Arabidopsis thaliana: one gene and its partners. The protein of the gene in region 1 interacts with the protein of each later gene in a pairwise test. Each region holds a gene or a part of one and is shown on either strand. Other genes may lie near its edges. The genes, in order: RPT2b, RBCS1A and AT1G61180.

Region 1 (11,178 bases):
ATCTCCCCATGCCTGATATATGAGGTACTGCCACCAACACTCCTTTTCATTCCTCTTACATATTCTAAAACAGAGGAGAGGTGGCAGCTTCAGCGCATTAGCAGGTGCTTAGAGAGTATTACTAAATAACTATTCACAATAATTTTGGTTGAATTATTAGGCTTTCTTCGTCTTTCCTTTCCTCCAAATTCTTCTCTCTGATTCATAAGAGAGCTGTTTCTTTACAAAAATTGTTGTCATTATTTGTGTACATTGTTACTTACCATTGGCAATCACAGTGATGCTTATTGTGGAACATACATGCTATTGTCTGATTCTGATATGCTTTAGGCACTATAGAAGACCTGATGTTACTTCATCTTGAGATTTGAAGAATAAATAAACCAAATCAAATTTTGGTCTTTTAAAAAAAGAGGATTTAGTCAATTCTTGTAAAACTAGAAGAAATTTCGCAATACTTTTCAAGAAGAATAATATTTTCAGGAAAAAGATTCATATCTAAGAAGAGAGGGAGAGAGAGACCTACCTTACATTATACACTTGTAAACACATGAAATATTACAACAATATTGAAGAGACTCCAGAGACACACAAACACTCATCAACAAATCCCAACAAAAAGAGAAATTCTTCTGCTTTAAACTATAAGCTTGTAGCTCTATCAATCGAGGCCAAAGGTTTATCAACAGTGGACAGAATCTGTGGCATTGACATTCCACCCGAAACAACAATCTCTGCAGATGAAGAATGAGTATACAGTGTTCAGTATCTTTCCACAAAATAATTTGAATGCTATATAACAAACGATAAATGTATCTAGTACAGACAATTAGATTCTGAAATCTCACCAATTCCTTCCCGGACCGAGAGGTTTGGCCTGATAACGTCATTACTGTTGACAAGTAGTAGATCTCCAATGTAAAGGTGGTTCGTGGGAACGTATACACAGCAAAGTTCCTCCTCGGTTGGATAGTTCTGCAAGGACGAAGGACATTATTACATTGGATAAACAAATGATGTAATTATAGTAAACCATGCCTCGAGATTGTATCTGCCTTCGTATCCTTTACCAAAATCGTTGAGCAAAGCAATTTCACTCACCTGGAGAACAACAGTTGATGTAATGAAGCCAAATGCGTATTCACCTACACGGGGATGCCTGATGATTGCAACTTCCTTGAAAGCTTGTGTATTTTGATCTGTGATGAGAAATGGATAAGAACAAGATGAGATAGGAGATCAACTTAATGTTGAGAAGCAAAACAAGATTTTTATAAGCAAGCTAGACCAGGCGATATGGCAGTGCTGATTTGCTTGGAGGCGTTGTAGATGTGACGAACAAACGGCATCCGCTTGATAAACCACTCTCCCAAGTTCAGAACCGATGCCCCCAACCACGAAGACATGAACACCCCAACCAAGAAGATGAATGCAATGGAAGTCAAAAAACCGAAACCTACAAAAAACCATAATCAAACTTATTGTGGGAAACGGAACGATATCAAATTGTTCATTCGATAAAGAAGGGCCACTCAAATTCTTACCAAATACGTTGATTCCAAGTTGTGCATATATTGGAGAGAAGAATCCATCGACAAAGTGAATAAACCACCATGTTATATAGAAAGTAATTGCAATAGGAAGTAGGATAACACTACAAAAAGCAATTGAGATTTGAAACTATCAGCACAAATCTTGAATATGTGACAAGTTTCATCAAGCCAAAATTTCAGTAAACTCTTCCTTACCAGCCTGTCATGAACTTCTTTGACGCCCAGCCCCTAATGAACAAGCTTAAAGTCTGCAGAAAAATAGATAAAGCATCAGATCACAATGCTCCTATGTGTTATATATGCTTGAAAACATGAATTAGCATGACATAGAGACTCAAGAATCTGACAGATCCCAATAAAAACACTTAAGATCTAATGCAAATTAATACTCTACTCAGTGAGGAAAGGTCAAATTTCTATAAGCATCTTAAGAATTAAGATCAGTGTTAACACACTACCAAACTTATCTAAGCAAGTGTTCTTGTAATATACTGAATCTAGGGCTAAACCATGTTCCAAGATTTTGCACTAAGGGGTTTCTCAGAATGGGCCAAATCTCTGAAGACTAAATCTTGAAAAGACCTAAGAGCTTAAAACCAATCCAATTCAACTGTTAATTGCGCATGAATCTTGAAATGAGAAAACGAAGAACAAGATTTTTAGATCAGGTGACAAAAACTAGACCTCGTGGCTGGATTGATGCGAAGAAGAAGAAGCAGAGGAAGAAGAAGAAGGCTTCGAAGAAGAACCGTCGTCTTTGTCGCCGGAATCAGCGACGGGAATCAGAAGCTCTCGATCTCTTTCTCGATTGGCCATAACAATCACCGGCTTCTCGTCTCCCATCGCCAAGAAACCAAAGAGACAAGGAAATCTAGTCGGAGAAAAAGAAAGAAGAGAGAAATGCCGGTGAACTGTGAACGGCGGAGAGGAAAAAGGCTGAGACTTTTGCCGGCGACTGTTCTTTTGTAGCTAAGCTTAGCTAACTCCAACTTGAGCTCTCTGTCGTTTTTGGATTTTTCTTTTTATATCTGTCTTCTTTTATTTATCCTTTTCTTAATTATAACATGATTAATTTTTGTTTCAAATTACTGTATACAAATTATTTTCAAAAGATGAAAAGATTAATTTTATTGTTGTGAATTAATATATCAAAAATTTATTTGTTCTACTTGAAATCATATACATTCATCGTAAAAATAAACTTTACAATAAATATTTTATTATCTAGAGTAAAACATTTTTGATTCTTAAGCAATATCAAAACAATTCCATCATATTTAAGCAAAAAATAACTAATTATAGTATATGTTTTAAATGATTTATACTGTAATATTTATTATTGTCATTTTTGTTTGTTACATACGTCTTCGAATTATCACATTAAAAGAGAAAATTATTCTAACGATTATATATTTTCCCAAGACTGCACCCAATGTTAAATCTGATATGGAAAATAATTTTCTTACAACTTTCAGATTTATTTTAAATATAAAAGTTAAGCAAAAACTATAATATATATATATTTGAGATTTCTATATGAGATAAAGTTCTAAAATAAATTAAAGTTTACAAAGGCAGAGAAATGAAGATTCATAATTAGGTCAGGTGCTAAGCACAATCCTCCTCTAAGAAAATTTTGGTCGATACATTTTTAGCTGCAGTATTTTATTTCACCATAAGAATTAGTAACATGTTGGAAACAAAACGTACCTGAGATCAAAAGAAGAGCTAGACAGAGAAATGTTAGACCATTTTTTTCTTCGATCAACAATGTCTCTCTATATATACCACATTTTATACTATTCCCTAATATGTAAAACGATATTGCCATTTGTCATGTGATTATTATTAGGGTGGGATTATCTTTGATTATCTTTTTGTTATAAAGTCAATGCGACAGTAATATGAAAGACACAAGGACGCGGATACAAATTATAATCTATAAGAAAAGAAAAAAAATTATTTTTAAAAGGGCTAAAAGAAAACAAGGTTATTCAAATAATATTGACAAATTACACTTCTCGACAAATTTTTCTGTGTTTTTTGGTTTCTCTATTCGCTCAGATTTTGTGAAACGTCTCTTCTGATTTTTTATTTTTTCCTATCGATCGGCCAAAGGTTTTTGAATAGTCACTTTAAGATTCATTTCCAATCGAGGCCAAAGGTTTATCAAGAGTCGATAGAATCTGCGGCATTGACATTCCCCCGGAAACAACAATCTCTGCAGATGAAGAATGAGTATACAGTGTTCAGTATCTTTCCACAAAATAATTTGAATGCTATATAACAAACGATAAATGTATCTAGTATAGACAATTAGATTCTGAAATCTCACCAATTCCTTCCCGGACAGAGAGGTTTGGCCTGATAACGTCATTACTGTTGACAAGTAGTATATCTCCAATGTAAAGGTGGTTCGTGGGAACGTATACACAGCAAAGTTCCTCCTCGGTTGGGTAGTTCTGCAAGAACGAATAGCATTATTACATTGGGTAAAAAGATTACGAAATTATGGTAAACCATATAACTCGAAATTGTTTGTATCCTCAAGGAGACGTTCTGGAAAGAATAACAAAATCCTTGAGCAAAGTATTTTCACTCACCTGGAGAACAACAGTTGATGTAATGAAGCCAAATGCATATTCACCTACACGGGGATGCCTGATGATTGCAACTTCCTTGAAAGCTTGTGTATTTTGATCTGTGATGAGAAATGGATAAGAACAAGATGAGATAGGAGATCAACTTAATGTTGAGAAGCAAAACAAGATTTTTATAAGCAAGCTAGACCAGGCGATATGGCAGTGCTGATTTGCTTGGAGGCGTTGTAGATGTGACGAACAAATGGCATCCGCTTGATAAACCACTCTCCCAAGTTCAGAACCGATGCCCCCAACCACGAAGACATGAACACCCCAACCAAGAAGATGAATGCAATGGAAGTCAAAAAACCGAAACCTACAAAACAATAATCAAACTCATTGTGGGAAACCGATATCAAGTTGTTAATAGGATAAAGAGGGGCCATTCAAATTCTTACCAAATATGTTGATTCCAAGTAGTGCATATATTGGAGAGAAGAATCCATCGACAAAGTGAATAAACCACCATGTTGTATAGAAAGTAACTGCAATAGGAAGTAGGATAACACTGCAAAAAGCAATGGAGACTTAAAACTAATCTGTGGAAGTTTTCATCAAATGCCAAAATTTCAACTCTTCCTTACCAGCCTGTCATGAACTTCTTTGACGCCCAACCCCTAATGAACAAGCTTAAAGTCTGCAGAAAAGAGCTAAAGCATCAGGCCACAATGCTCTATAAGTTATACATGCTTGAAAACATGAATGAGCATAATACAAAGACTCAAGAATCTGAATGATTCCAACCACAACAACTTGGAATGCAAATTCATACTCTACTCAATCACAACTACCAAACTTATCTAAGCAAGTGTTCTTGTGATATACTGAATCTAGGGCAAAACAAGTTCCAAGATTTTGAACTAAGGGGAGACAGAATCGACCAAATCTATGAATAACTATCATCCAATTCTACTGTTAGTTTCGCATGAATCTTGAAATGAGAAAACGAAGAACACGTTTTTAGATCAGGTGACAAAAACTAGACCTCGTGGCCGGATTGATGCGAAGAAGAAGCAGAGGAAGAAGAAGAAGGCTTCGAAGAAGAACCATCGTCTTTGTCGCCGAAATCAGCGACGGGAATCAGAAGCTCTCGATCTCTTTCTCGATTGGCCATAACAATTGTCGTGTAAAGAGAGATAAAACCCTAAACCTAGAAACTCACCGAGAGTTCGAAGATTGTAAATCACAATCTAGAAGCTAGTTGCGAAACAGAAGAACCACCTCGAAGATCCTGAGATTTGATGATGATGATTGTGATGATGATGAATGACAGATAGAGAAGACGATGAAATTGATTTTTGATTCGATTTCCCCAAATGGCAAAAGAAAAGTTCCTTACCTGTACCGATTGACCGTACCAACTACCAAACCAACGAATTGACTTTTACAAAACTTAAACCGAAATTAAAGATAATTAAACCGAGTTATTGAACTAAACCAGATAATAGCTTAGGTTGAATCAGTTTTAAAAAAATTTGCGATACCTAAGGCCCACTAAGTTTTTCACATCGTAAAAAGGCCTAAAATAATAAGCCCACTTTAATCATCTCCTCCCGTTATCAGATTAAAAGATTTGTTTCTCCGAGAGCAAGAAACCTCAGAGAGACGAAGCACAATGGGTCAAGGACCTTCCGGCGGATTGAATCGGCAAGGAGATCGGAAACCAGATGGTGGAGAGAAGAAGGAGAAGAAGTTCGAACCAGCCGCACCACCTGCTCGTGTAGGGAGGAAGCAACGGAAGCAGAAAGGACCTGAAGCGGCGGCGAGATTGCCGACGGTGACTCCTTCTACTAAATGTAAGCTTCGATTGCTGAAATTGGAGCGAATCAAGGACTATTTGCTTATGGAGGAAGAGTTCGTAGCGAATCAGGAGAGATTGAAACCTCAGGAAGAGAAAGCTGAGGAAGATAGATCTAAAGTTGATGATCTTCGTGGTACACCTATGAGTGTTGGCAATCTTGAAGAGCTTATTGATGAGAATCACGCCATTGTTTCTTCTTCGGTTGGTCCTGAGTACTACGTTGGCATTTTGTCTTTCGTTGATAAGGATCAGCTTGAACCTGGCTGCTCTATTTTGATGCATAACAAGGTATTGAGTTTTACAATGCTCTTCCATGGAAACGTTGAACCAATTCTTCTATGTGATATTTTTTATTATTTTTGTGATAGGTACTCTCTGTTGTTGGGATTCTTCAAGATGAAGTGGATCCAATGGTGTCTGTGATGAAAGTGGAGAAGGCTCCTTTGGAGTCATATGCTGACATTGGAGGTTTAGAAGCTCAGATTCAGGAGATTAAGGAAGCTGTTGAGTTACCTTTAACACATCCCGAGCTGTATGAAGATATTGGAATTAAGCCACCAAAAGGTGTGATCTTGTATGGTGAGCCAGGCACTGGGAAGACATTGCTTGCTAAGGTTCGTCTTTTAGCCTATAGTGTATCCATTATATAATAAGCTTTCTAGTTGTTAATTGCTTAATACAGCACATAATGGTACTTCCCAAGTATGATTGGTTTTATGTCAAGTCATGCATGCAAAATTTTCTGTCTTTTATCAATCTTCACTAGAAAGATGAATTAGTCAGGACAGTGGCTTCTTTGGTTTGATCACCTAGAATTGAGATATTAGATCATAGTACTTGTGTAGATAGAGGAAGATTTTCAGAGTCACGTGGATTGATTTAATGTCTTCGTTTTCTTTTTGTCTATGTCGCAAGCATGGATTGTTGCAGTGTGCCTCTTTTTAATGTGTCTCTTATGCTTGTTAAATTCGGAACTGTTGGAGATGAGCAAGTGTTATTTCTTGTTATTCTTTCAGGCAGTGGCAAATTCTACTTCAGCTACTTTCTTGCGTGTTGTCGGTAGTGAACTGATTCAGAAGTATTTAGGAGATGGTCCCAAGCTTGTGAGGGAACTTTTCAGGGTTGCTGATGACCTTTCTCCTTCTATTGTTTTCATAGACGAGATTGATGCTGTTGGCACCAAGCGGTATGCCTAAATACAACATAAACATGATCCATTGATAAACAATGTTCTTGATTTTGCTCAAGAGATGGTATCTAATATGTGATATAAAATGGTGGTTGAAACAGGTATGACGCAAACTCAGGTGGGGAACGTGAAATCCAAAGAACCATGTTGGAACTACTGAACCAGCTTGATGGGTTTGATTCAAGAGGAGATGTTAAGGTTATTCTCGCGACAAACAGGATCGAGAGTCTTGACCCGGCACTTCTTAGACCAGGCCGGATCGACAGGAAAATCGAATTCCCTCTTCCAGATATCAAAACAAGAAGACGTATCTTCCAGGTTCCACAACTGGTGATCCTTAAGTTTTCTTTCTTTTTTTGTGAATTTTCTAGAAAGATCTGATCGGTTTTTAATTGCATGCCATTATTAGATACACACATCAAAGATGACTTTGGCTGAAGATGTGAACTTAGAAGAGTTTGTAATGACAAAAGACGAGTTCTCAGGAGCTGATATAAAGGCAATATGCACAGAAGCTGGTCTGCTTGCTCTTAGAGAGCGTCGGATGAAAGTAAGGATTCTCTGGCTTCTCACCACTTGATTCATCGAACGCAATCTTTGAATAATTTTACTTTAACCTTTGTTTGGTCTTCTATTGGTTTAGGTGACGCATGTGGACTTCAAGAAGGCGAAGGAGAAGGTTATGTTCAAGAAGAAAGAAGGAGTTCCTGAAGGTCTTTACATGTGAATGATGCACAACGACTGGTTTCAATCTCTTTTTTCGAGTTTGCTCTCTTTTTCTCCGTTTTTCTGTTTTCACTCTCTGCTTAGATTTTTTTTTCTGATCATATAAAATCGTTTGCCCATTATTAATCTGCTTCCAAATTAGCAATTTATTAGTTTGCTTTCTTCAGAACAACCTCATAGATTTATTCATTTGAAATTTCCATCATTTTTACTTTGCGGTTACGAATATATAGTCCAATTTCCAAGTCTAAGCTTATGTGGGTTATTTTACATTATTGTTTGAACTTATTTCTGAAGCTTGGAGATATTTAAAGTCAACATAAGTAGCTGTCGATATTTGTCGACAGGCTGTCTGAATCAAATATAAAATACATACACTTCCAAGAAACTACGAAGAAAGTTTCAAAATTGCAATAGAAAAAGAGGATTGAAGTCGTGTGTTTTTGTACTTTAGTAAAGATAATAATTTCTAGGAAATTGCAAAGAAAGTTATAAAGAACTATAAAGATGAAAACAGAAGAAAGGAAAGTGGTATGACAAAAATAAGGAAATGAATTCAAGTCCTAAAATGAAACACGATGTGTTCATAAGTTTCAGGAGCAAAGACACTCGTGACAACTTCGTAAGCCATCTCTGTGGCTGTCTACGTAGGAAACGGATCAAAACCTTCTTGTATGACGAACTACCAGCTGACGAGAGGTATGAAGAGTCGTTAAAAGCAATTGAAGTATCGAAAATTTCAGTCATTGTGTTCTCGGAAAACTTTGGGGATTCGAGATGGTGTTTAGATGAAGTTGTAGCCATCTTGAAATGCAAAGAAAAGTTTGGTCAGATTGTGATACCTGTCCTTTACCATGTTGATCCTCTCGACATTGAAAATCAGACAGGAAGTTTTGGAGATGCCTTTGCTAAGCGACGGGATAAAGCCGAACAGCTTCAAGAATGGAAAGATAGTTTTACAGAAGCCATTAACCTCCCTGGATGGAGTACTGCTTATTTGAGGTATAACCCCAAACTCATACTTTCTATTAAAGTTACCGTCGTAAGTGAGCTACAAGATGTTTTAATCTCTGGGATTAATATTATGATCACTGCTTTCTCTACTTGTAAATAGTGTGCTTTTGCTTATGCTTATATTCCCAGTGATGAGGAGATGTTGGTGAATGGAATAGCTCGGGAAATCGAGAACAAACTGCTAAGAGCCTCAAGAACGAAGGTCTTTTAGATCAAAAACCATTTTTAAAGTCTTAGCTACGTTTTTTTACTAACAAATTTGTTGGCGATAAATTCTGTTTTTTTCTTCTTATAAGCAGGTTATGATTGAGTGGTCTTTAGTCATCACCAACCTCATGTTGGAGATACCTTCTTCTGTTTTCGACCAGATCTCCTCTGCACATAAACCTTTATATGCATTGGCTGCAATGTCAATGTCATTGTTATCATGTCTACTTTGCATTGTAGATCTCTTACACAAAGGCAGAGTTGACAGAGTTGTGTGGAAGTGGACTTGGCCCATTCCTTGGTTTCACTATCAAACTCAAAGATCAAACAGATTTGGTAGTTTTCCAGAGATGCTAGGCTTGGTTTGTGCCTTGTGCCAAACAACTATCACTGCCGTTAACTATTCATTCATCACACGTAGAGATGATACTCCCATCAAATTCTCGGTTTGGCCAATCATGTTTGCGCTAGGTTTACTTTGCACTTTGTTGATTAAAAGATTTAGATAACTATTTCCATTATTTACTTGTTGCATACTATATATAGATACACTTACTTTGTTATAATTTGTTCTCTCTTCTGTTTTAACAAAAAAAATCAGTTTTACTATTTTAAGTTTTACGTTAAACATATAAAATGATAGGAAAGAACTAAAAAACTCATATTTCAATAATTCTCTTTCATTTTTGTTTTACCTGTTTAAATTTGATGTTTAAAACTAGGCTACAATTGCTTAGAACCAAAGATGTTTTTGCAACACTTTAGATTTGTTTATTTTTTAAAGACCGAATAGCCACAACTTTTAACCTCACTTTGGAATCAAAATAACATATTCTTAGACCACATTAATATACTTATTTGCTTTGTATTTTGACAGACGAAACATGGTTACATATTGGACTGCATCAACATTGAAAAGCAGCTAGCCTTTGATCATCCTTTGCTCAAAAAAAGTCTTAAAACCGCGATTTATTTTTTATTTGGCCGTTTAATACCTGTAAGTTTAAAATTGAAATAAAAATACCTAAATTATTTTGTGTTGCCTTTTAAATCCATGGTCTTCTAAATTCGGGTAAAATTTATTTTGTGTTACAAGTAAAAGCTATTCAAGATTCTCTCTTTTGTTTTGTCCTAATGTATTAAATTATCATATGCCGTTGAAGCCTACAACTAGACCTAACTAATGGACAAGAGATTACAACACTTCTCAAAAATCAAGTTCTCTGCCACTTCGACAAGATGAGGACATAAGTTGACCACTTAAAAATGTGATTATTACAAGAACTACACTTGAAGATCTTATACAAATTCAACGTTTGAAATCTTTAGGGTTTAAGTATCCAGCATCCCAAGACGAGAACTGCCTCGGTGTGAACCATCATCATGTAAGAAACACTTATGTTCATATAGGTAAGACCTTAATTAACACCCTACATGTACTTATAATTTTATTTATTTATTTTGCTCCTTATGATTATCTTTGTTTTGTTTGTGACTGTGAGAATATGTTGCCATTTGGCACTGTTAGTCGGAGAACACATTGGCTTACTAGATGAGTGCGTAAGATTTCTTTTGTTTAATTTTTTCTGTTTGTCGTCTTTCTGTTCAAGTTTAGTTGATTAATATGCAACAGAAAATATGAAAAATGATAATAAAATTTAACATTACACTAAAAAAAGCAAGAAGTTATAATTTGGAATTGGTCATAATCTTTGTAGGCTCATAACCAACTTTTGGTAATACTTGTGGGGAGTTAAATAGTCTAAATCATCATTTCCCATATGAAGCACATAATACTCGAACTCAAGTCCAGTTGCATTAATTAAAACAACACTCCTGTAACGATTGAGCCAACTGCATTAGGGTAATCTGTATCTAGTTATATAACTCATGTCTTTCTATTTAAATACATAAGAAACAAGAGATTACAAAATCCCAGTCCGGCTTTAGTGTTTAATAGGTCGAAACCCAAATAGAAAGAGCACAGCTCAGTTAACAATTAGAAACACACATTGAGAAAAGATCTTAGAGTTGAACCTAGACTAT
Region 2 (9,972 bases), on another chromosome or scaffold:
AAAATATTTGAAGAGGAGGTTTTCAAGTTGCAAATTTCTGCAAAAACCTCATGAGGTAAACTTATTGACAAAAGATGAAAACTTGTCTCGAGTTGTTTGGTCTCATTGATACTGTCAACAACTTAACCCATTACAGCTAATTTAACATGAGCAAAAGCATAATGAAGCATCATTCCAAATCTTTATAGGCATTTAAGAAACCAAGATCATCAGCTTATTTGTACTGGTTGTTGATTATAGCTTTGGTTACGAAATGCGAAACGATTCCAACCGGACAGAAGAGAAGGCAAAGTGAAACCGAATGCCTCGTCTCGATCTGGTTCTCTAACCCATCATTATAAACTTGCCTGCAGAGTAAACCCAAAACACGCTTTATAAGAAACATGTAGGATAATTTCAGAACCCATTGAGAAGAAGAGAAGTGTAATATACCGTGCAGCGAAAAGATCTACAACAAGAAGATGAATCCAAGCAGAAGCAAGAGTCATTTCACTTGAGAACATTTTAGCTATTCCAGACAACTGCAGATGAAAAAACTAACTTTAGAAACTGCAATGATACAAATATTGTGGATGGTTAAGGGAAAGCAAAACCTCTGGCAACATGTATTTACTAGAAAACATGTATTTGAGCGTCTCGGGTGTCCAAGAAATGTATAACAAATACACATATAATACGCCTAAGATGATATACGGTACGCTACTCTCCATACACTTCTTGGTCTGCACAAAGAAACATACTCAATTTTGATCAACTTCATTAGGTCATCAAGTTGTAAAACTTGCAACAAAATTAAACTTACAATTTCAGCTTTTGGTGCTACAACCATTAGAGTATAGAAGGGTAAAACCGCGGTAGTTCCAACCGCAAATACACTGCTTGCAATCTGAGTAGTAGTTAACCCTACAACATGAACATATAAGAGATTCTAATCACACATATAATCTTAGATCAAAGTCACAAAATGAGTGACAAAGTTTAATCTTTAAATGGTTATGAGACACAGTACATGAAGCTCGTACACCGGAGAATTTCTTGTGAACTACGGTGTAAGAATTGGACTGAACAGAGATTCTTGATCCTCCAATGAAGCTCCAACGATGATCTAATCTAATCTTTGAAGAATCAAGACAAAGTTCCGATCTTTTAGCAGAAACGTTGCGTTTCATCACCTGAATTCACCAACAAAGAAAGAAAGATTCTTCTTTTACTTCATAGAAATTCAGAAACTTTCATACAAAAACTCACAACAATCAAGAACAGAGATTCTGTAACAGTGACTCAGAAAGAATAAAGTCAACTCAAAAACCCATTAAATTCTTCAATTCTAGTCAAAAGATAAAAAGACTTTAAGGTTATCCATAACTATAGTTTAACTCAACACAGAATCTAATCCAACAACTGTACATATATGTATAGTGAAATTAAAGAAGAAGAAGATACCGAGAGAGATGAAGACAAAGGCTGAGAAATGAAAGAAGAAAAACCCATCTCTGATTCAAATCTTCACCACTAATTGCCAAAAATTGATCTTTCATCACCTTCTTCAACAAACTCTCTGCATATATATAATGGGAATGGTTGCGAGATTTCCACTGGATAAAAAAAAACGAAAGTGGAAGGGAAAAAAGTTGTCTTTCACTCTTTCTTTGCTCAGTGTCGACAATTATATACAACACTTTTTGCTCATCCTTCCATCTTTATAAAGTTTTCATCTTTTTTACTTCAATATTTGTTTAAACTTTGAATTCCGGTTTAGTTTATTATAATTATTTGGATTTTGTTTGTTTATTTAATTAACTTCTAATTTAATATGGATCAATTAGTAGATTTAAGTAACATTTTTGGTTTACTTCAATCAATGATATATTTTTACTATTACCATATAAGTTTTTATTAAACCAATTATACATAAAAAAAAAAGTTCAATACAATTCAATATAAAATTTTGAATATATTGATAAAAAGTTAAATATATATATTTTATTTTTGTGTGAAAAAAGTTATATGTGTATGTTAATGGAGATTTAAGTGAATTTAGGTGGACAAGACACAAGTCTAGTTTCAGGAAAGAAAAAGACAATGGTTAGTGTTTCCCCCCATTAATTCGGTTGTTTACTTTTATTACATTTATATATTTTTAGTTTTATATTCACAACCTGGTTATTGCATTAAGAATTGACTGAAAAAAAGATTTAAAAAATACGTTAGGACAAGAAAAAGATAGACATGTGGCTAATACTCATTGTTGGAGAAATTGGATGGAGTAGGAAGATAACTTGGGTGGGCTATTTGGTATGATAACTTATTTGCTTTGGTATTAATGGGCCTTTTGACCCACCCACTTTGTTTTTTTGCTTTATCACTCCCACCTAATTTGTTTATTTAACAAAAAAACAACACATGAAAACAAAAACAAATTGTGAAAAAAAGAAAAAAAAGACAAATCTTTGGTATCTCCTATCTTTCAATCTTTCTGTGGTATTTGAGCATTTCGATGTTTTCGATGGTGACCAAAACCTTTTGGTAAACAATATGTATAATTCTTGAGATTAAATGGTACAAAAATTATTAAAAAGGGGTAAAAATCGTTTAAAATATTTCAAAACTTTACACTATATCAGTAACTAATTAGGAAAAAATTAAAAAAAAAAATGAAAGAAAATTTTGAGTTTTTACGACCCACACATAGCTTATCCTATTTCGAAAGTACCTAAACAAACGACTCCAAAATATCTTTATGTGAATTTGGGTCAAGTCCCTTTGATTGAGGAAATATATGATCCACAAGATCCTTGAATATACTTGGTAAAAATGAATATTCGAGACTCTTATCCAGAATCCTATCCTAAACAAGGCACGTCCACTTATGTATCCATCACTAGATTTCAAGTGGGTCATCTTTTGCTTCAAGATATTGTTACTCTAAACCTCTCAAGCTCGTTAATCATGTGACAAGAATTGAATGTGAAACTAATTTTCTTAATGATTTCTTTAGCGACTCATGGTTCTTAAACTTGTAAATTTCATATTTGTAGCCGCATTGTCCTATTTTCTTTTTGTTGATATGCATATCAAATTGAAAGACTTATAGAACATTACATATTTATTTCATCAGACAGTTGAGAATCCGATAGAATATGTCTCGCAAACCGGAAAACAAACGTTAAGTCCGGAAATTAAAACCCAAGAAAGAAGAAAAAAGCAGAAAAACAAGGGATAAAATCAAAGATGGGGGATAAAGTTTTGAGGTTTACACAAAAGCAAAGGGAAATTAACCGGTGAAGCTTGGTGGCTTGTAGGCAATGAAACTGATGCACTGGACTTGACGGGTGTTGTCGAATCCGATGATCCTAATGAAGGCATTGGGGTACTCCTTCTTGCACTCTTCCACTTCCTTCAACACTTGAGCGGAGTCGGTGCAACCGAACAAGGGAAGCTTCCACATTGTCCAGTACCGTCCATCATAGTATCCGGGTGAGTTACCGTGCTCACGGTACACAAATCCGTGCTATACAAACCACATGTTACAAACCACTCAGATAACATTTTGAACATGTTTATATAAATCAAGATCCTAATATATTAAACCAAATTTTCCTAAGATCTAGCTAGTTTATATAGATGTTTAAATTTTGTTTAATTACCTCCAACTCGAATTCAACACAAGGAATCCACTTGTTGCGGATAAGGTAGTCAACTTCCTTAGCCAATTCGGAATCGGTAAGGTCAGGAAGGTAAGAGAGAGTCTCAAACTTCTTCTTTCCAATCGGAGGCCACACCTATTTTTTCGATTTTTCCAATGATATTAGTTTATGTAGATTCGAAGAAAGAACCGAAAAAAATCATATGGAATAATAAAAAAGTGAAAGAAGAAATATAAATGACCTGCATGCAGTTAACTCTTCCGCCGTTGCTTGTGATGGAAGTAATGTCGTTGTTAGCCTTGCGGGTGGCTGGGAAGGCAGCGGAGGACTTAAGTCCGTTGAAAGGAGCGACCATAGTGGCCTGAGCCGGAGAGGCAACCATAGTAGCGGAAGAGAGCATAGAGGAAGCCATTGTTCTTCTTTACTCTTTGTGTGACTGAGGTTTGGTCTAGTGCTTTGGTCATCTATATATAATGATAACAACAATGAGAACAAGCTTTGGAGTGATCGGAGGGTCTAGGATACATGAGATTCAAGTGGACTAGGATCTACACCGTTGGATTTTGAGTGTGGATATGTGTGAGGTTAATTTTACTTGGTAACGGCCACAAAGGCCTAAGGAGAGGTGTTGAGACCCTTATCGGCTTGAACCGCTGGAATAATGCCACGTGGAAGATAATTCCATGAATCTTATCGTTATCTATGAGTGAAATTGTGTGATGGTGGAGTGGTGCTTGCTCATTTTACTTGCCTGGTGGACTTGGCCCTTTCCTTATGGGGAATTTATATTTTACTTACTATAGAGCTTTCATACCTTTTTTTTACCTTGGATTTAGTTAATATATAATGGTATGATTCATGAATAAAAATGGGAAATTTTTGAATTTGTACTGCTAAATGCATAAGATTAGGTGAAACTGTGGAATATATATTTTTTTCATTTAAAAGCAAAATTTGCCTTTTACTAGAATTATAAATATAGAAAAATATATAACATTCAAATAAAAATGAAAATAAGAACTTTCAAAAAACAGAACTATGTTTAATGTGTAAAGATTAGTCGCACATCAAGTCATCTGTTACAATATGTTACAACAAGTCATAAGCCCAACAAAGTTAGCACGTCTAAATAAACTAAAGAGTCCACGAAAATATTACAAATCATAAGCCCAACAAAGTTATTGATCAAAAAAAAAAAACGCCCAACAAAGCTAAACAAAGTCCAAAAAAAACTTCTCAAGTCTCCATCTTCCTTTATGAACATTGAAAACTATACACAAAACAAGTCAGATAAATCTCTTTCTGGGCCTGTCTTCCCAACCTCCTACATCACTTCCCTATCGGATTGAATGTTTTACTTGTACCTTTTCCGTTGCAATGATATTGATAGTATGTTTGTGAAAACTAATAGGGTTAACAATCGAAGTCATGGAATATGGATTTGGTCCAAGATTTTCCGAGAGCTTTCTAGTAGAAAGCCCATCACCAGAAATTTACTAGTAAAATAAATCACCAATTAGGTTTCTTATTATGTGCCAAATTCAATATAATTATAGAGGATATTTCAAATGAAAACGTATGAATGTTATTAGTAAATGGTCAGGTAAGACATTAAAAAAATCCTACGTCAGATATTCAACTTTAAAAATTCGATCAGTGTGGAATTGTACAAAAATTTGGGATCTACTATATATATATAATGCTTTACAACACTTGGATTTTTTTTTGGAGGCTGGAATTTTTAATCTACATATTTGTTTTGGCCATGCACCAACTCATTGTTTAGTGTAATACTTTGATTTTGTCAAATATATGTGTTCGTGTATATTTGTATAAGAATTTCTTTGACCATATACACACACACATATATATATATATATATATATTATATATCATGCACTTTTAATTGAAAAAATAATATATATATATATAGTGCATTTTTTCTAACAACCATATATGTTGCGATTGATCTGCAAAAATACTGCTAGAGTAATGAAAAATATAATCTATTGCTGAAATTATCTCAGATGTTAAGATTTTCTTAAAGTAAATTCTTTCAAATTTTAGCTAAAAGTCTTGTAATAACTAAAGAATAATACACAATCTCGACCACGGAAAAAAAACACATAATAAATTTGAATTCTGACAGTGAACTCTACTTTTGAATTCTAATTATAGAGTGAAGAATCTTGATAGATGAAAGCCATAAACATGTTTGTCGAAACTAGAAAGTACCCACATATCATAATAAGATGTTTCTAATTCCACTTTGAGACTCAGTCAAACAGTTAATATCTTGGACAATAAGAATTTGTTGACCAATAATCCTATATTACAAGAAGCCTTCTATTATTTTAATCAAAACATTGAAGCTCAAGCTCCTCGTAAGGTAAAGAGCCCACAAAATTCCGAAAACCATGGAAAACGCGAGTCCCTGGGTTTGCATTATATTTTCTATATTTGTTTTTCTTTTCTCCTAAAATTATGGAAGTGATTGGAAGATACAAGAGGTTTTGTCCAAACAATTTAAACTCGACGACTAAAAACGTAGGATGACGCGATACACACGCGCGGCCATATGCATGCAAACCCCTATATTTCTTTTTAAAGTTTTTGGCTCTTTCCACATTTTTAAAAATAAAAATATTTTTGGACATTTTTGCATGGCATCTTCACCTATCTCTCCTCCATTTGTCTTTCTTTTTTCAGTTCAGTGTATCATCAACAAGAGTTCACAAACTTTTATTTTTTACACATTCATGGCTTGTTTCTAGTTCTAGATTTGGATTTTTCTAGCTTCACTTTTGATAGAATTCGGGGGAAATAGAAATTGTTAAACCAAAAGGAAGAGTTAACGTTCGATTCTGTATCAGATAAATCTCTATAAAGGATTATATCATTGTATTATTCCAGCTAGCACATATCCATTTTCGTATTTGTCAATTAAGAGAATTTGTATTTATTTGTTTATTATAAGACGACAATAAGAAAGACGACAAAAAATTTTATTCGTATGCTTATATTTTGTATGCATCTATTTTTCTACCTCTTACCTATGCATTTTTATTTTAATGAATTATCATATCTGTTTGTCAATCACTTCTATAGCAATATGATAATTTGGTTGAAACTGTATTTATCCATACGTCTATCTAAACATGTATATATACCATTTGAATTTTTCAAAAACATAATATATATACATATAGGAATTAGGTTATTGACTTATTGTTTATCTTACAATATGTTAAGTTATTTGATATAGAAAATTATTGTACAACTTTATACAGGTCTTCTAAATTACCTGAAACGACAACAAATTTATTTCATACTAGTATATATCATATAGCATATATAGCTTTCACATTCGTCTGTAACTGGTCTTTCAGAAAAATTGACTCTATAGAGTCTACTAGCTATAGTTATGATTGTTCGCATGATTATATTATTAGTTAAAGTGGAGACAATCGTATTAATCGTGTGATAGCCGGCAGAAGAAAAAATAAATCGTTTTATCCGTTAAAATTATATATATTTTGTTTTACTGTATTTTTCTAGTTTTTAACTAAGTTTTATCTTTATATAAATAATTATAAATGTTTATATAATGTTTGATATACTTAAATAAATATTTTATCTAAACTTTGTTTGCGATTTGACATTTTTAACATTTTTGATAGATATTTATATATTTTCTATAATTTTAATTTTTAACTGTTTCTAAACCTTAATAATAATTAATAGATTGTGTGTGCGTTTTTTTCTTTATTTTATTAAAGAAGTAATAGAAATAATTCAAACATCACCATTCAATGATGGGTGTTTCAATGGAAGAAACTACCAAATCTAACCAATAAACGTTGGCATCTATTCACCTAAAAGTAAAAATTGTAGAGCCTATATTAGTCAAAGTGATCCATGCAGATAATTTATTAGTAGGTCTTTCGATATTAATGTTGATATATACTAGAGCCTATAGAAGTCAAAGTGATTCCATTAAGATAATTTATTAAGTAGGTATTTGGATATTAATATTAATTATCAGAATTATGTATGGAGCTACATAATGTGTAACCGCTCAGAAAACGCGGCGATTCGACCAAACTCTGTTACCACAATGTCTCCGCCACGCGATCACACTTTTGCGCTTGCATGCGAACGTTGAAATTCGAACCTCTCATCTCTCTATTTACCATTTTACCCTCTAGTAATTTCGTTTTCAAAATTTACTATCTCCAAATATTTTGGCAGTCCATTATTAATTGCCGAACATTAAACTGCGGTCTAGACAAAAACAAACGGCGGTCAGATATAAACAACTAACCAAAAAAATAAAATACTTGACTGGTTTTGGACATTTTCGTCGATGATGATCACGCGCTACGAATGAGAGCCAAAGACAAAGCTCAACGGGCTTCCATATATATTTCATATTTATTAGTAACTATTTTCCCCAAAAAAAAAAATATATATTATTAGTAACTACAAACAAACAAACAAAATGTATAAACCATGAAAATTAAAGATTTTAAAATTTTATAACTATACAAATAGTATGAGAAGCTTTGTTTATTTTTATAAACACATAATAACAGTTTGAAAAAATTACTTACCTAAATAAAGGTAATATTCTCGTAATTTACTAAAATAATTCATACAAAATATAAAAACAATTACAAAACTCTTCTTTTTTGGGCTCTTTACATCTTATTTATACTTTGAAAATTACGATATCCATTTAGAGAAAAATATAACATGCACGTCACAAATTTATTTATTTTTTGAAAAAAATTACACACAAAGAAAACGACAACTTCGTTCCTTGTTAATTGTTATGATCTCTCCGACCAAACCCAAGCAGCTTCTCCCTCTTAAATACCTCTTCCTTCTTCTAAGATCTCTGGACCATTCTGTACTTTCCCTCAAACCCAAAACACATTTTGTTTTTTGTTTCCCATCTAAAATGCGTATGAGTTGTAACGGATGTCGAGTTCTACGAAAAGGCTGCAGTGAAAACTGTAGCATAAGACCTTGTCTTCAATGGATCAAATCCGCTGAATCTCAAGCCAACGCCACCGTCTTCCTCGCCAAGTTTTATGGCCGTGCGGGGCTCATGAACCTCCTCAACACCGGTCCTGACCACCTCCGTCCTGGTATTCAAACTTCCCATGCATGTTATGTTTTTTGTTTGTTATGGTTAATTGCGAAGTTCTGGACGGAATCTCTCATACATCTTTTTAGGAAACGTAGGATCCTGTTTATTTTTCTAACATGCATCTAATAATTTGGTAATTTTGTTTGTTTTTGCAGCGATATTTAGATCATTGTTGTACGAAGCATGCGGGAGGATTGTGAATCCGATATACGGATCCGTGGGGTTATTGTGGTCAGGAAACTGGCATCTTTGTCAAGCGGCCGTTGAGGCAGTAATGAGAGGCTCACCCGTGACTCCGATCGCATGCGACGCAGCGGTTACTGGTCAAGCACCTCCTTTTAACAACAAGCTTTGCGACATAAGACACGTGTCAAGCAGGGACGAGAACGTTAAGAGACGGAGCCGTGGTGCATGCAAGGAAGAGAGAAACGTGAGGTCTTTGAGTCATGAGTCGTCACTGAGTCACGAGTCACCGGTGTCTTCTGAGGAGACGACGACGGAGGAACCAAAGACTTGGATCGGGCTTGAGCTGACTTTGGGGTTGGAGCCTTTAGCACGTGGAAATCACGTGGTGGTACCGATGAAGAAAAGAAAGTTAGAGAGGTGTGGCACGTCTGAGGATGAGGACACGTGTAAGATTGAGCTTGGACTGGTGTGCAGTGAGTGAATGGTTCTTTTTTTGTGGCTGGTCTTAATTACAAGTTTTGGTGTTGAGTTTTAGGTGTACAAATAGAGATTAACGAATCTCTCTTTTTTCTCTTTTTGAGTTTTATGTTTTGTTTTGTTTTCTTTTGCATGTTCGGTGTTCTTCATAAATATGTATGATGAATGATAAAGAGGTCTTAACTTAACAAATCTTGGTTCGGATCGACATAACAAACATTTCTTCTTTCCATTCTAAATTCTTGATTTTACTCATGTACTTAAACAAACGATGCAATTGATGTAAACACGTTTATCCCAATAAATTTTGTATTTTATTTATATAAAAAAAAACTTAACAAATCTTCTATTTCAGAAATATCTGGGGTTAGATTACAAAGAATCTAAGTTGCTTAATGATGAAATCTCCATATGATGATTAGTCATTCATTTATAAATATTTTGTCTCAAAAAGCCCTTTTGTATGTGAACCGTGTTACCAAATGACTCAGCAGCTAACATGCATGT
Region 3 (12,251 bases), on another chromosome or scaffold:
ACAAAATTAAAACTGAATTTTGCGAAAACATAATTTATATGAAACTCGAGTATAAAAATGATGACTCGAAATGGATCAAATAGAATAAAGCAATCGTAATGTCGAATAGTGGAAAAGAGATTTATATCTTATTTTATTTTGTCTGAAAAAGATCTATCTTCACCTATTTTTATTGAACTTTAAATATTTTAAGCAAAAATAAAATTGATTCAATTTGATATAAAATGAGCAAAGACCTTTTGATCATGATCCTTTACAAGATTTTCATTTCATGCTTTATCATTACAGAAAAAAAAAATCTAACAAACTAATCTGAAAGCTAAAAGATTGAAAATAATATAGTTTCTTAATATATTTTATCAAAATCATTAATAGATATTGTGAAATAGATAATAGAAAATTGAGAATATCTAAGGAACTTACAAATTGATATTACTTCTTCCATTAGTCATTGTGGAGAATGAAGAAATAAAAAAAATGGGAAATGAAGCTCTTAAAGTGAGTCTAACCAAATGATGTACTTTTATTAACTCCCAAAATGGGATATCATTGATTTATGTTCTATAAATAAAAAATTAACCTGATTCATTTTTCTTATATAATAATTGATTAAGACATACGCTGGCAAAATTTTTTTTTTTTATGTCCGCTCGCAAATCAAAAAAATATGGAAATACAATAAATTTTAATTATAATAAATTAGCTTTTATTTTCTTTTCATAATTTCTAATAAATATCTCATATACCCAATTTACAGTATCGTATTTTGTATTAAATAAGTTTGAGTTAAAATTGAATCATTATGAAAATCTAATTAGAATATATATATATATATATATATATATATATATATATGTGTGTGTGTGTGTATGTATAGTACTGGTACATAATATTAATGTTTTGTAACAATTTCGGTTTCTAGTTTCTAAAATATGGTAAATTATCAAAATCGATTAATTATGATATTTTCACAATTATATTTTTCTAATATTGTAAATTTGTTCCCAAATTTTTTTTTTTTTAAAGTCCCAAAGATAGAAAGTTATTATTATAATTCCAAATTTAAAATAAATTTTAAATTTAATATGGAGATTGACTCTTGTAGTCTTTTGACTTGTTCATTAATATGTTCCCGAAATAGTTTTATATGGTATACAAAATTAAATAATTGTATAAAAGGTAAATCTAAATTTAAGTTACGTCAGATTTGATCTTTTATGTGATAGAGATGTGTTCCAAATAGTTCTTTTAATTGATTTGAACACTTTCTTTGGTACCAAAACAAGAAACATCATAGGGTTTGCGTACTCATTGGTATTAATGAAACTGACCCACACACATGTTTTTGGATCATCACTAATTTAACTGTCTCATAAGCTTTGTCACACACACACACACAGAGACTTATATAGTGATGCATTCATTGATATCATTCGGCATCATACCTGTTCTTTCATTCCATAAAGATAAAAAAAGGTAAAAGAGAAATGTGATTTTGTATTTGAGATTGATTTGTATGTAAGTATTTATGAGTGAGAGAAAATAGTGGATTCTATGCGTGTGGAGATAGTAGAAGAGGTCTCTACTCTACTATGTGTGCTTGCATTTCCTAGGAACACAAAATGGCCCACTGGCTCTGTCCCTTTGTTTCATAGAGACTAGAGAGTGTCCTCTTCTTTTTCACGTTATTGAGAATGATATAGTTTCATAGAGACTGAAGATTCCCTTTTGTTTCTCAACTCTTCGAGTTTTGATACTAAGCAAGCTTAACTGAATAAGGTGATTTGGATTTGATAATATCGGCTACGGTCACAAACTCCGAATAAATCTTGATCGACTTGCTTGAGAGAGGATTGATTCTTGGAATGGCAAATCTCACACAAATATATGAACTTGAAAATGGGTTTTGTTTGGCCAAAAAAAAAGGAAAAAAAGAAAATGGGTTTTGTTGGATGTGAGATAATTATCCCATTGTCTTGAATCTTGATTATCAATTGGAAATGGAAATGATTTTGTTTTTGGTTAGGAATTAATAGTCATTTGGGGGTTAGAAATTAATTGGCATGTGACATATACACAAAGAACCTACCATGTGAACATAACTAGAATCATTCAAACATGGGAGGACCCATACAATGTAAATCTTCAAGTCCTATCTTTTAATTTAAGAGGTTTATATCAACTTCATTTTTGTGTGACTTTGTGCTAACATCAAATTCTGTTTTGGGGAACATAACACAGATAAGGGTTTAGATATGTTCTTGTCTTCTCAATAAAACTGTTTGGATATCAATTGCTTTGATTGGAAACTGATTTTGTGGCGTTTATATCGATTTGCAAATAGTTGTGTACTCAAAAGGAGTCTCGATGTTGATGCTAGGAGACGATATAGCTTCATTCATCGCCTATCCCACTCCTGCACCCGGAGATTCCAACAGTCGAACTTCAAGTCCAAACTCCATTCAAGAATGTTAAAAAGTTTGATTTTTGCATTATATATGCTATTTTTTTGTGCTTTTTGCGTTATGCTATGTTTTGTGCTTCTGCGGTTAACTTTTTCTCTACCGTGTCTTGCAAACTGATTGCATCTTCATTGCCAAGATTTTTGTTATGAGAATTTTGTGTAAATATAATTAGAAGAAACCAAACTGCAAAAGCCTTGGCTCAAGTATATATGTATTTTACGATTTTTGCCAGATTTTCTTTTTGTTGAATTTCATTTTTCTTATCACAAAATAATTGATCGTTGAGAAGAATGTGTCTGTCAGTGAACTGTAGTGGTCATGAGTTTTCATGAATATGCTATTGTCGACCTGCCTAAGCCTAATCATCTTTAAGCCCGACCCAATAAGCAATAAATGGTAAAGTATATTGTACAATGTGGTTGTGATTGGTAACATACGTAACATGTGTTCAATCATAATATTACAGAAGACACCATGATGTGTCCCCGAGAAAGAAAAAAACTAGATCTAGTCGTAAGGTTCGTCTTATGTTTGTTCTTTTTGGTCAAATGATTCGTCTTATGTTATGATACGATTTTATTTTAGATCTCTGACATAACCTTTATTTCTGACCTTCATTATTATCATTGGTTTTTAAAGAAACATTCTCTCTTTTTTTTTCTTAAATCAGGTCCTCTAAAAACTCCAAATTGTACAGAACTAAACTATATATCATCTGCTTTTGTAGAGATTTATTTGTCAAAATTATTACCTGACAGCTTAAGGACATCCTGACAAAAAAAATGTTAAGTTCAATGATATATTTAAAGGAAATGAACTCTTTGTGGGCTTGTTTAGATCTCTAGCCATTTCCGTGCATGTGAGTCATGTGACTTTTTAGATCTTTCATTTAGACCTTTTTCAATGACATCTACAATATTTATCTTATAGATTTTGGATCCGATCAAATTTTGAAGGATGTAAATGGATCTCAGATAAAACTCACATTAGTTAAAAAAAATTTTTTTTTGTCAATTTCTACCTCTCAAGTCTCAACAACAAAATCCATTACATGATACATCATTTTTTTTTTTTGGTCGTAAGTACGTAACAGTGTAACACACCTCATGACTAAAAAGTTATCATAACTTTGAATGCGTAATATTTCTACGCATTCAAACGTTTTTAATATTCAAAAGTTTTTTTTAATTTTCTTGACTAAAAAGTTATCATAACTTTATTAACGTCATTATATCAAGAAAATTGAAAATTTGCATGGGGTTTAATCACAGACATAATTGCTGCTGAAATCATTATAAACTAAAGCTACTTTGGGGTAGTTGTTGTATAATTATTCTTTTTACTCATATTATCAACTGTCCCAAAATATTAACAATAAATACTCTCACTTCACAATCATCCTCTGCTGTCACCACACAACACAACCAAGGAGTACTACTCTCTAATCTCCGATCAAACGACGTCGTCTCTTCTCTCTCTCTCTAATGGGTAATTGCTGCGTCAGCTCCGGTACCACCGATCGGGAAAACGAGAACGTTTCCGACAAGAACACAACCATTGTCGAAGAAGAGACAGTAGTCAAAGAAGTCTTGTCAGAGACAACCTTGTTCACTCCTTCCTCTAGTTTCCGCACTTCGACGTTCAAAGACCCGGTGAAGACCAAGATCCGAGAAGATGAGGAGAAAAAACCCGGTTTCTTGAAAATGGCTTCAGACCCGGTTTTGATCCGACCCGGTTCGGTTGATCCTGAAGAAGGCTCTGAGGTTTCGGAGATTTGTAGCTTGAGTTTGAGCGAGAGTGTGTCTTCAACGGTTGTGATGAATGGTTACGATGAGGAACATGTGATGATGAAACAGAGGAAATCTCAGAGATCTCCGGCGAAAACTCGGACCCAGGTCACCGGTAATAATTATCCGACCCGGAGAACTGATCAATCTCCACGTAAGAGAAACAATGGTACATGTAATGGAGCGAGATACGGGTCGGGTGTGAGAGACCCGGGTGAGAGATCCGGAAGAAGGTCAAGATCGCCGGCGACGAATAGATCGGTGATGGATTCGAATCAGAGTAGTCGGGTGGGTGGGGCAAAGACTAGGAAGAATAATCAGTCTCCGGGTCGGGTTAGACTAGATCCGGCTAAAAACGGGTTGGATCAGCAACAGCATCAGAATTACGGTTATACCACAGAGGAATTGTTAGAGAACCCGCTTGTTTCGTTAGAGTGTTTCATATTTCTTTGAAAAAGAAGAATATTTCGATGGGAATAATGTCTTCTCATTTGACGTTGGATTCATAATTCGTAAAGCTACTTACTTAATTACGTTACCTCTGTAATTCATTTCTGTGTTGTATTTGCTGATTTAAAGTTATAATTCGGTTGAATGATGTAATGTTCGAGTAAACGAAAATTCAAGATTAGAAATGAATACATATGTATGTTTTAAACACCACGTAGAATAATATATATCCAAAATAAATACCACTCATTTATAAGTTCTTTAATTTTGGAAATTAGTAATTAATAATGTTCTTTAAAATCACAAAAAAATTACTTTCACGAAGACTCGAATCTGAAACATTGCAAGTGCTATTACCACAAGGTGAAGCTAGTATTACATTAGAATCGGGGTCAGACGAGAAATTATGTAATCACCGAATCAACAATCATTTGAATAATCATTCAAACGGTTACATGAAAATTATATTAAATTGAAAGTTCTCATCCTATTTGGGATCGTCACTAGCAGTGATAGGGGAACACATTATTTTTTTTGTCGTAAGAAAGTGGAACTCATAATTACACTAGTTTTGAATATTTTTCGTGTTTTGCAAAGAGAAAGATAATCCAAGACATAAATAATTAATTCAAAAGTTTGCTTTTCTAGATATGAACGTTGCTTTTGTTTATTTATTTATTTTACTTTAATTATATCTATTGAAAATTTCTCCAAAACAGGGCAAGTTTTTTTTTGGGGGGCAAACTCAATTGATTTATTCATAGTCAAAGCAAAGCAAAGATGACAAGTTATACAAACTTCATAATTTAACTATCGCTTTGATTGGTCCAAAAAAAAAAAAAAAAAACTATCGCTTGACTTCTCCTTTCCCAGATCTAGAGATTGTACTTAGCTCTTCTTCTCTCTTCTTCTTCTCATTCTCTTCGCTTGTAACCACAGAACTTTGCAGTGGTCTTGTTCCACTAATATTAGCCTCGTTTTTGCTTACTAAAAGTTTATCTCTATTCTCATCACCATGGGGAGTTGTTTTTCTCTTCAAGTTAGTGATCAAACACTGAATCGTATCTTTAATTGCTTAATTGGTAAAAGTTATATTCGAACCCTCGAGAAGAATCTCAGAGCTCTGCAGAGGGAAATGGAAGATCTCAGAGCAATTCAACATGAGGTACAAAACAAGGTAGCTAGAGACGAGGCACGCCATCAACGAAGGCTTGAAGCTGTCCAGGTATGGCTTGACCGTGTCAATAGCGTTGATATAGAGTGCAAAGATCTGCTAAGTGTTACTCCTGTTGAGCTTCAAAAGTTGTGTCTATGCGGTTTGTGTTCAAAATATGTATGTTCAAGCTACAAATATGGGAAAAAGGTATTCTTGTTACTGGAAGAGGTTAAGAAACTAAACTCGGAGGGAAATTTTGACGAGGTTTCTCAGCCGCCTCCAAGGTCTGAAGTTGAAGAGAGGCCTACTCAGCCTACGATTGGTCAGGAAGACATGCTCGAAAAGGCATGGAACCGCCTTATGGAAGATGGAGTCGGAATCATGGGTCTGCACGGTATGGGTGGTGTAGGCAAAACAACCCTTTTCAAGAAAATCCACAACAAGTTCGCTGAAATAGGTGGTACGTTTGACATTGTGATCTGGATCGTGGTGTCTAAAGGCGTAATGATTTCAAAGCTTCAAGAAGATATTGCAGAGAAACTACACCTTTGTGACGACCTGTGGAAGAACAAGAATGAAAGTGATAAGGCCACTGATATACACAGAGTTTTAAAGGGCAAGAGATTTGTTTTGATGCTAGATGATATATGGGAGAAAGTGGATTTAGAGGCCATTGGTATTCCCTATCCGAGTGAAGTAAATAAATGCAAAGTAGCATTCACGACACGTTCTCGGGAAGTTTGTGGGGAGATGGGGGATCATAAGCCGATGCAAGTCAACTGTTTGGAACCAGAGGATGCATGGGAGCTGTTCAAAAACAAGGTCGGAGACAACACATTAAGTAGTGATCCTGTTATTGTGGAGTTGGCAAGAGAGGTCGCTCAAAAATGTCGTGGTCTGCCATTGGCGCTCAACGTCATTGGTGAGACAATGTCATCTAAAACTATGGTACAAGAATGGGAGCATGCAATCCATGTTTTTAATACATCCGCTGCAGAGTTTTCTGACATGCAAAACAAAATTCTTCCGATTCTCAAGTACAGCTACGATAGCTTGGGGGATGAACATATCAAGTCGTGTTTCCTATATTGTGCTCTGTTTCCTGAAGATGGTGAGATATATAACGAAAAGTTGATAGACTACTGGATATGCGAAGGATTCATCGGAGAAGACCAAGTTATAAAAAGAGCGAGGAATAAGGGTTATGCGATGCTCGGTACCCTTACCCGTGCAAATTTGCTAACAAAGGTTGGTACATATTATTGTGTGATGCATGACGTGGTTCGTGAAATGGCTTTATGGATTGCTTCCGATTTTGGGAAACAGAAAGAGAATTTTGTTGTGCAAGCAGGAGTCGGGTTACATGAAATACCAAAAGTCAAGGATTGGGGAGCTGTAAGAAAGATGTCATTAATGGATAATGATATTGAAGAGATAACATGCGAGTCCAAGTGTTCTGAACTTACAACTTTGTTCCTTCAAAGTAATAAATTGAAGAATCTACCAGGTGCATTCATTCGGTATATGCAAAAGCTAGTTGTTTTGGATCTTTCATATAATCGTGACTTCAATAAACTTCCAGAGCAGATATCGGGGCTGGTCTCGTTGCAGTTTCTTGACTTGTCGAATACAAGTATAGAGCACATGCCTATTGGTCTCAAAGAGTTGAAAAAGCTAACTTTCCTGGATTTGACTTATACTGATCGACTTTGTAGTATCAGTGGGATATCAAGGTTGTTGAGTTTAAGATTGTTGAGACTGCTAGGGTCTAAAGTTCATGGAGATGCTAGCGTATTGAAGGAGCTGCAGCAATTGCAGAATCTACAAGAGCTAGCCATAACTGTATCCGCGGAGTTAATTAGTTTGGATCAAAGGTTGGCGAAGTTAATCTCTAATCTTTGTATTGAAGGGTTTCTTCAAAAGCCATTCGATTTATCATTCTTGGCGAGTATGGAGAATCTTAGTTCCCTACGGGTGGAAAATAGTTATTTCTCGGAGATAAAGTGCAGAGAAAGCGAGACAGAATCGTCTTATTTACGCATCAATCCGAAAATTCCATGCTTTACCAACCTCTCACGACTGGAGATAATGAAGTGCCATAGCATGAAGGATCTGACTTGGATATTGTTTGCTCCAAATCTTGTCGTGCTACTCATTGAAGATTCAAGAGAAGTGGGAGAAATAATAAACAAAGAGAAAGCAACCAATCTTACAAGTATTACACCATTTCTGAAACTAGAATGGTTGATTTTGTATAATTTGCCGAAGCTGGAGAGTATCTACTGGAGTCCTCTCCCCTTTCCGGTTTTGTTGACCATGGATGTTTCAAACTGTCCAAAGCTGAGAAAGCTTCCATTAAATGCTACAAGTGTTTCAAAAGTTGAAGAATTTGAAATACATATGTATCCTCCTCCAGAACAGGAAAATGAGCTTGAATGGGAGGACGATGATACCAAAAATCGATTCTTGCCTTCAATCAAACCGGTAATCATTTCTTTTAATCTCTTATGCTTGAGTTATTTGTATTTCTTGCTAATGTTTCTTTCAAGGTTAGCATGAGATATTGTCCTTCTGCAAAATGGATCACACAATAGAATATACTGTGCCTCTCAATTTCAATGCATTGTTACTAACATTGTTTCATTTTCTTCTTCTTTAGTACAAGTACTTCGTCTACCCAGGAATGAGTTTCCTCACTGTCTAAAATCAGAATTCACGCTTCTTCTTCTTCTATTGCTTTATCTATCTTCTTGTAGTGCTGCATTTGGATTGTATAATTGATTTGCATTCTGATACTTCTGGAATGTGTTGTTGTGTTGTTCACTTGGATTATGTTTTTCATTTTCCTTTTGTATTCCCTAAAACGTTTTGCATCCTGTTCAAACTACATTTTTACACAATCAAAAGTTTATGCGTTTAGGTAAAATCCATTTGTTGGTTTCTCTTTCACCTTGCAGTGTCTTTCTTCATCTGTTGGTTTCTTTTTCATGTTCCAGTTGTTAATGAAAAGATTTGATTTTGGTAAATCATGAAGATCTTGTACTCAGATTCTCTAGTGTCAATCCCTCAAACCTATTCTGAATATCTAAAATTGTGATATACTCCTAAGCTATGTGTTAAGATTTCAATATCGATACCTCCGATTCCTTAACCAAACCGGTACACACTAACACACCATACAAGAGAGAGACTAGCACATCACTAGCTCAGCTCTCAATACACCATACGAGAGAGACTAGCACATCACTAGCTCTGCTCTTAAGTCTCTCATACCATTCAACAACAAACAACATAAACCTCTCTAAACATTCAGAGCCATTATTTATACTCGAACTGAGTTTGTTCAAGATATTTTTAGATCCTAAAAATATCTTCTTCTTCAAGCAAGTTTCTTCTCACGTGCCTCCTCACTTGCACGTGTCTTCTTTTGCTTTCTCTCATTCACATTCTTCTTGATACATCAATCGTATCACTATGTCTAGTGTGGTGGCTTAATTTCTTAATTTTGTTGAGTGTTATGGTAAACTCTTAATCTTTTTTTTTGCATCTTCTCACTTTTGTCAAGAAGCATATCTCTCTTCACGTTCTCGTATAGCTTCCATCTGTTTATGATCTTTATAACTAGTTTTAAGACTTAGTTCGTTTTATGCGCTATCCCTTAAGCATCAAATGAAGGATTTGAATATTGCCTCCCCTCTCTTGTCTCGGAGAAGTTATCTACGAATCTCTTTGGAGCCAGCACGAAACCATCTAAAAACCAAATTTTGTGCTCTTTTTAAACATTCAAAACGATGAAAAGGTTACTAATAGATGTTGACTCTTTACTTTAAATCGTAGATTGCATGATCAAAGATTCACCACAGCCTTCTGTAAAAGTCGCTGAAAACTGAAACGTTTATTTTCTTGTACATTGTCTTAACAAAACCTTGAACATACCTGAAATTTCATAGTTATAACTTTTGTGCAAACCTCTAAACCCATTTACTAGTTGGGCCTTAAATACATTTGTGGCCCAAAAGCCCTTTTACACTTAAAACCAAAGTCTTCTTCTTCTCCCTCAATCTTTGACGCTTCGTCTTCTGACGTCTTCTCTTGTCAATCTTCTTCACTTTCCCATCTAGTCTCAATCTCTGGTTCCTCAATTCGAATTTAGATAATAATCATATTTTGATTCCAACGCAAATGCCAATCTATTCTTTTGACGGTAGAACATTCTGTTTTCAGATGACCAAATCCTTGACATCCATACCACTGTATGTTCAACTTCTCATCTTCTCTAGCTTCATTCCACACAATAAAGCTATTGGATATGCAAAAAGATTCATGAGGGTTTCCAATTAAACAATAACTCAAAATGAAGGTTTCGTTTTCTTCACTAGTCCCTTGAGTCATCAAATTCTTCATTGCCCTGGAGAAGTCTGGGAATCTCTCTATGAGCCGGCATCAATTTTTTCATTAATATAAATCTTGGTGTTCATTGTCTAAATCATTCACATCTTTGTCTTCAACAAAGTCTGTAAAATCTTCTTCCATCTTCTTTCTCTGATCCAGAATCACTAAAGACACTACTTCTGAAGCTTAGTGAAGGAGCTGCAGACCTTGGTCCTTTGGAGCATCATCTACTAGTTCTAACCATGACGATACCTACATAGTTAGGTTTGGATCAAACATTTCGGCGGTCAAAGGTTGGTGAACTGCATCACTTCTCTGCATATTCATGCTTTTCAAGAAAAGCTATTCAATACATCATCACTGGCTAGTATGGAGAATCTTCATCATCTCTATGTCGAAAGTAGTCATGTCTAGGAGATGTATATATTGCAGGAAAGCTAAATGGACTAGTCTAATTTAAACAATCCGACAATTCCATGCTTTACCAGTCGTCTCTCAGACGTGCTTATACCTGAGTGCATAAATGATCTGGCTTGGCTTCTGTTTGCCTTCAGATTAGATGTTCAGATTATGTGTCATCAATTTTTCAAAATTTAAAGAAAGATGTGTATTCTACTCTTCTAATGATCAAATCTCACAAAAAAAAAATCTTTTCTTTTCCTTTCAAACTATAAAATCAGTTCAGCTTAAAATAAGTATAGACATAGGATAGACATATATGGAGGAGAAACCTTAAAATAAGTTCAGCTTCTTTAGATATTAATAAGTAATTAGGTAGATGGGGTGTTAGGGATATTCCCAGCAGAGAGGTTATACCTCTCAATTTCATTCAGTTCCACAATTGTCAAGTTTTTTTTTTGCTTCTTCTTCTTATTCTTTAGTGATGTGGGTTAGTCATAAGTTGTTCACTGGCTAAAAGCAGAGTCCATGGCTTCTTTTTATGTTGTTCTCTCTTTCTTCTTGTAATTTGTGATATCTTCATTTGGATTTCTTTTTCACTACTTTTCTTTTGCATTTTTTTCTTTCTCCAGTGTGTTGTTCACTTGGATTATGTTTTTCATCATTTCCGTATCGTATTACTTCAAAGTTAAAACGGATTGAATTAATCCTTTTCAAACTACATATTTTTACACAATCAACAGTGTATGCTTTTTGGTCTTCGTAATTTAGAGGTCAGTTCTATTTTCAATTTATTTAGTTACAAGACTTGATATCAGAGCGACAAAGGACTTACATAGTTCTACCACTTTGCTGTGGGATGGTAAAAGATACTAGTCTAATAGTCTACACGAAAATGAAAGATTTGTCATTTTGAAAAGTCATTAGATGCCATATTATTGCCAGACACTAATTTGTATGGACTCTAGCTACCAAAAAAAGAAGAGAAAAATCAAAGTCCTTCATATGGAAAATGGGTGGTCTGAAAATCAGTGACAGCAATGTCTTTTATTATCTTCTATCTTTCTTTGATAATCTCAACCCACCCGTATTGGAGCAAGATGTTATCTAAAACACTTCTTCACCTTCAGCTTTAGCTTTAGCTTCGTTGTTGCTTACTGAAACTTTTCTCTCTTAACTTCACCATGGGAAATTTTGTGTGTATAGAAATTTCTGGTGATCAAATGCTGGATCGTATCATTAGATGCTTATGTGGTAAAGGTTATATTCGAAACCTCGAGAAGAATCTCAGAGCTCTGCAGAGGGAAATGGAAGATCTAAGAGCAACTCAACATGAGGTACAGAACAAGGTAGCGAGAGAGGAGTCACGCCATCAACAAAGGCTTGAAGCTGTCCAGGTATGGCTTGACCGTGTCAATAGCATTGATATAGAGTGCAAAGATCTGCTAAGTGTTAGTCCCGTTGAGCTTCAAAAGTTGTGTCTCTGCGGTTTATGTTCAAAATATGTATGTTCAAGCTACAAATATGGGAAAAGGGTGTTTTTGTTATTGGAAGAGGTTACGAAACTAAAATCGGAGGGAAATTTTGACGAGGTTTCTCAGC

What was found.
Region 2: the proteins of RPT2b (region 1) and RBCS1A interact in a two-hybrid assay, tested with the Arabidopsis thaliana proteins (one study listed by BioGRID).
Region 3: the proteins of RPT2b (region 1) and AT1G61180 interact in a two-hybrid assay, tested with the Arabidopsis thaliana proteins (one study listed by BioGRID).

The regions. Positions count from the first base shown.
Region 1 is NC_003071.7:8,686,926-8,698,103, forward strand, and holds RPT2b (AAA-type ATPase family protein), read left to right. Parts: upstream 1-5,641; 5' UTR 5,642-5,810; coding exon 5,811-6,284; intron 6,285-6,364; coding exon 6,365-6,610; intron 6,611-7,012; coding exon 7,013-7,182; intron 7,183-7,286; coding exon 7,287-7,503; intron 7,504-7,594; coding exon 7,595-7,735; intron 7,736-7,828; coding exon 7,829-7,912; 3' UTR 7,913-8,186; downstream 8,187-11,178. Other genes in the region: COV1 (CONTINUOUS VASCULAR RING protein (DUF502)), read right to left, coding at 643-734, 849-975, 1,102-1,199, 1,289-1,456, 1,545-1,654, 1,749-1,801, 2,238-2,396; LCV1 (uncharacterized protein), read right to left, coding at 3,689-3,774, 3,889-4,015, 4,157-4,254, 4,344-4,511, 4,594-4,703, 4,780-4,832, 5,181-5,309; AT2G20142 (Toll-Interleukin-Resistance (TIR) domain family protein), read left to right, coding at 8,462-8,913, 9,055-9,127, 9,225-9,641; AT2G20150 (uncharacterized protein), read left to right, coding at 10,685-10,688. UniProt on the Arabidopsis thaliana protein: The 26S protease is involved in the ATP-dependent degradation of ubiquitinated proteins. The regulatory (or ATPase) complex confers ATP dependency and substrate specificity to the 26S complex. Acts redundantly with RPT2A in the regulation of gametogenesis.
Region 2 is NC_003070.9:25,045,191-25,055,162, forward strand, and holds RBCS1A (ribulose bisphosphate carboxylase small chain 1A), read right to left. Parts: upstream 4,478-9,972; 5' UTR 4,060-4,477; coding exon 3,889-4,059; intron 3,783-3,888; coding exon 3,648-3,782; intron 3,512-3,647; coding exon 3,275-3,511; 3' UTR 2,968-3,274; downstream 1-2,967. Other genes in the region: ABA4 (abscisic acid (aba)-deficient 4), read right to left, coding at 215-347, 433-521, 594-722, 803-903, 1,010-1,172, 1,444-1,491; LBD40 (LOB domain-containing protein 40), read left to right, coding at 8,611-8,800, 8,958-9,469. UniProt on the Arabidopsis thaliana protein: RuBisCO catalyzes two reactions: the carboxylation of D-ribulose 1,5-bisphosphate, the primary event in carbon dioxide fixation, as well as the oxidative fragmentation of the pentose substrate.
Region 3 is NC_003070.9:22,545,769-22,558,019, forward strand, and holds AT1G61180 (LRR and NB-ARC domains-containing disease resistance protein), read left to right. Parts: upstream 1-5,502; 5' UTR 5,503-5,717; coding exon 5,718-8,417; 3' UTR 8,418-8,517; coding exon of another isoform or gene 8,518-8,562; 3' UTR 8,563-8,916; downstream 8,917-12,251. Other genes in the region: AT1G61160 (retrotransposon gag), read right to left, coding at 424-452; AT1G61165 (uncharacterized protein), read left to right, coding at 2,368-2,475; AT1G61170 (uncharacterized protein), read left to right, coding at 3,950-4,705; AT1G61190 (LRR and NB-ARC domains-containing disease resistance protein), read left to right, coding at 11,834-12,251. UniProt on the Arabidopsis thaliana protein: Involved in disease resistance via the salicylic acid (SA) signaling pathway. Involved in shoot architecture development via the cytokinin signaling pathway.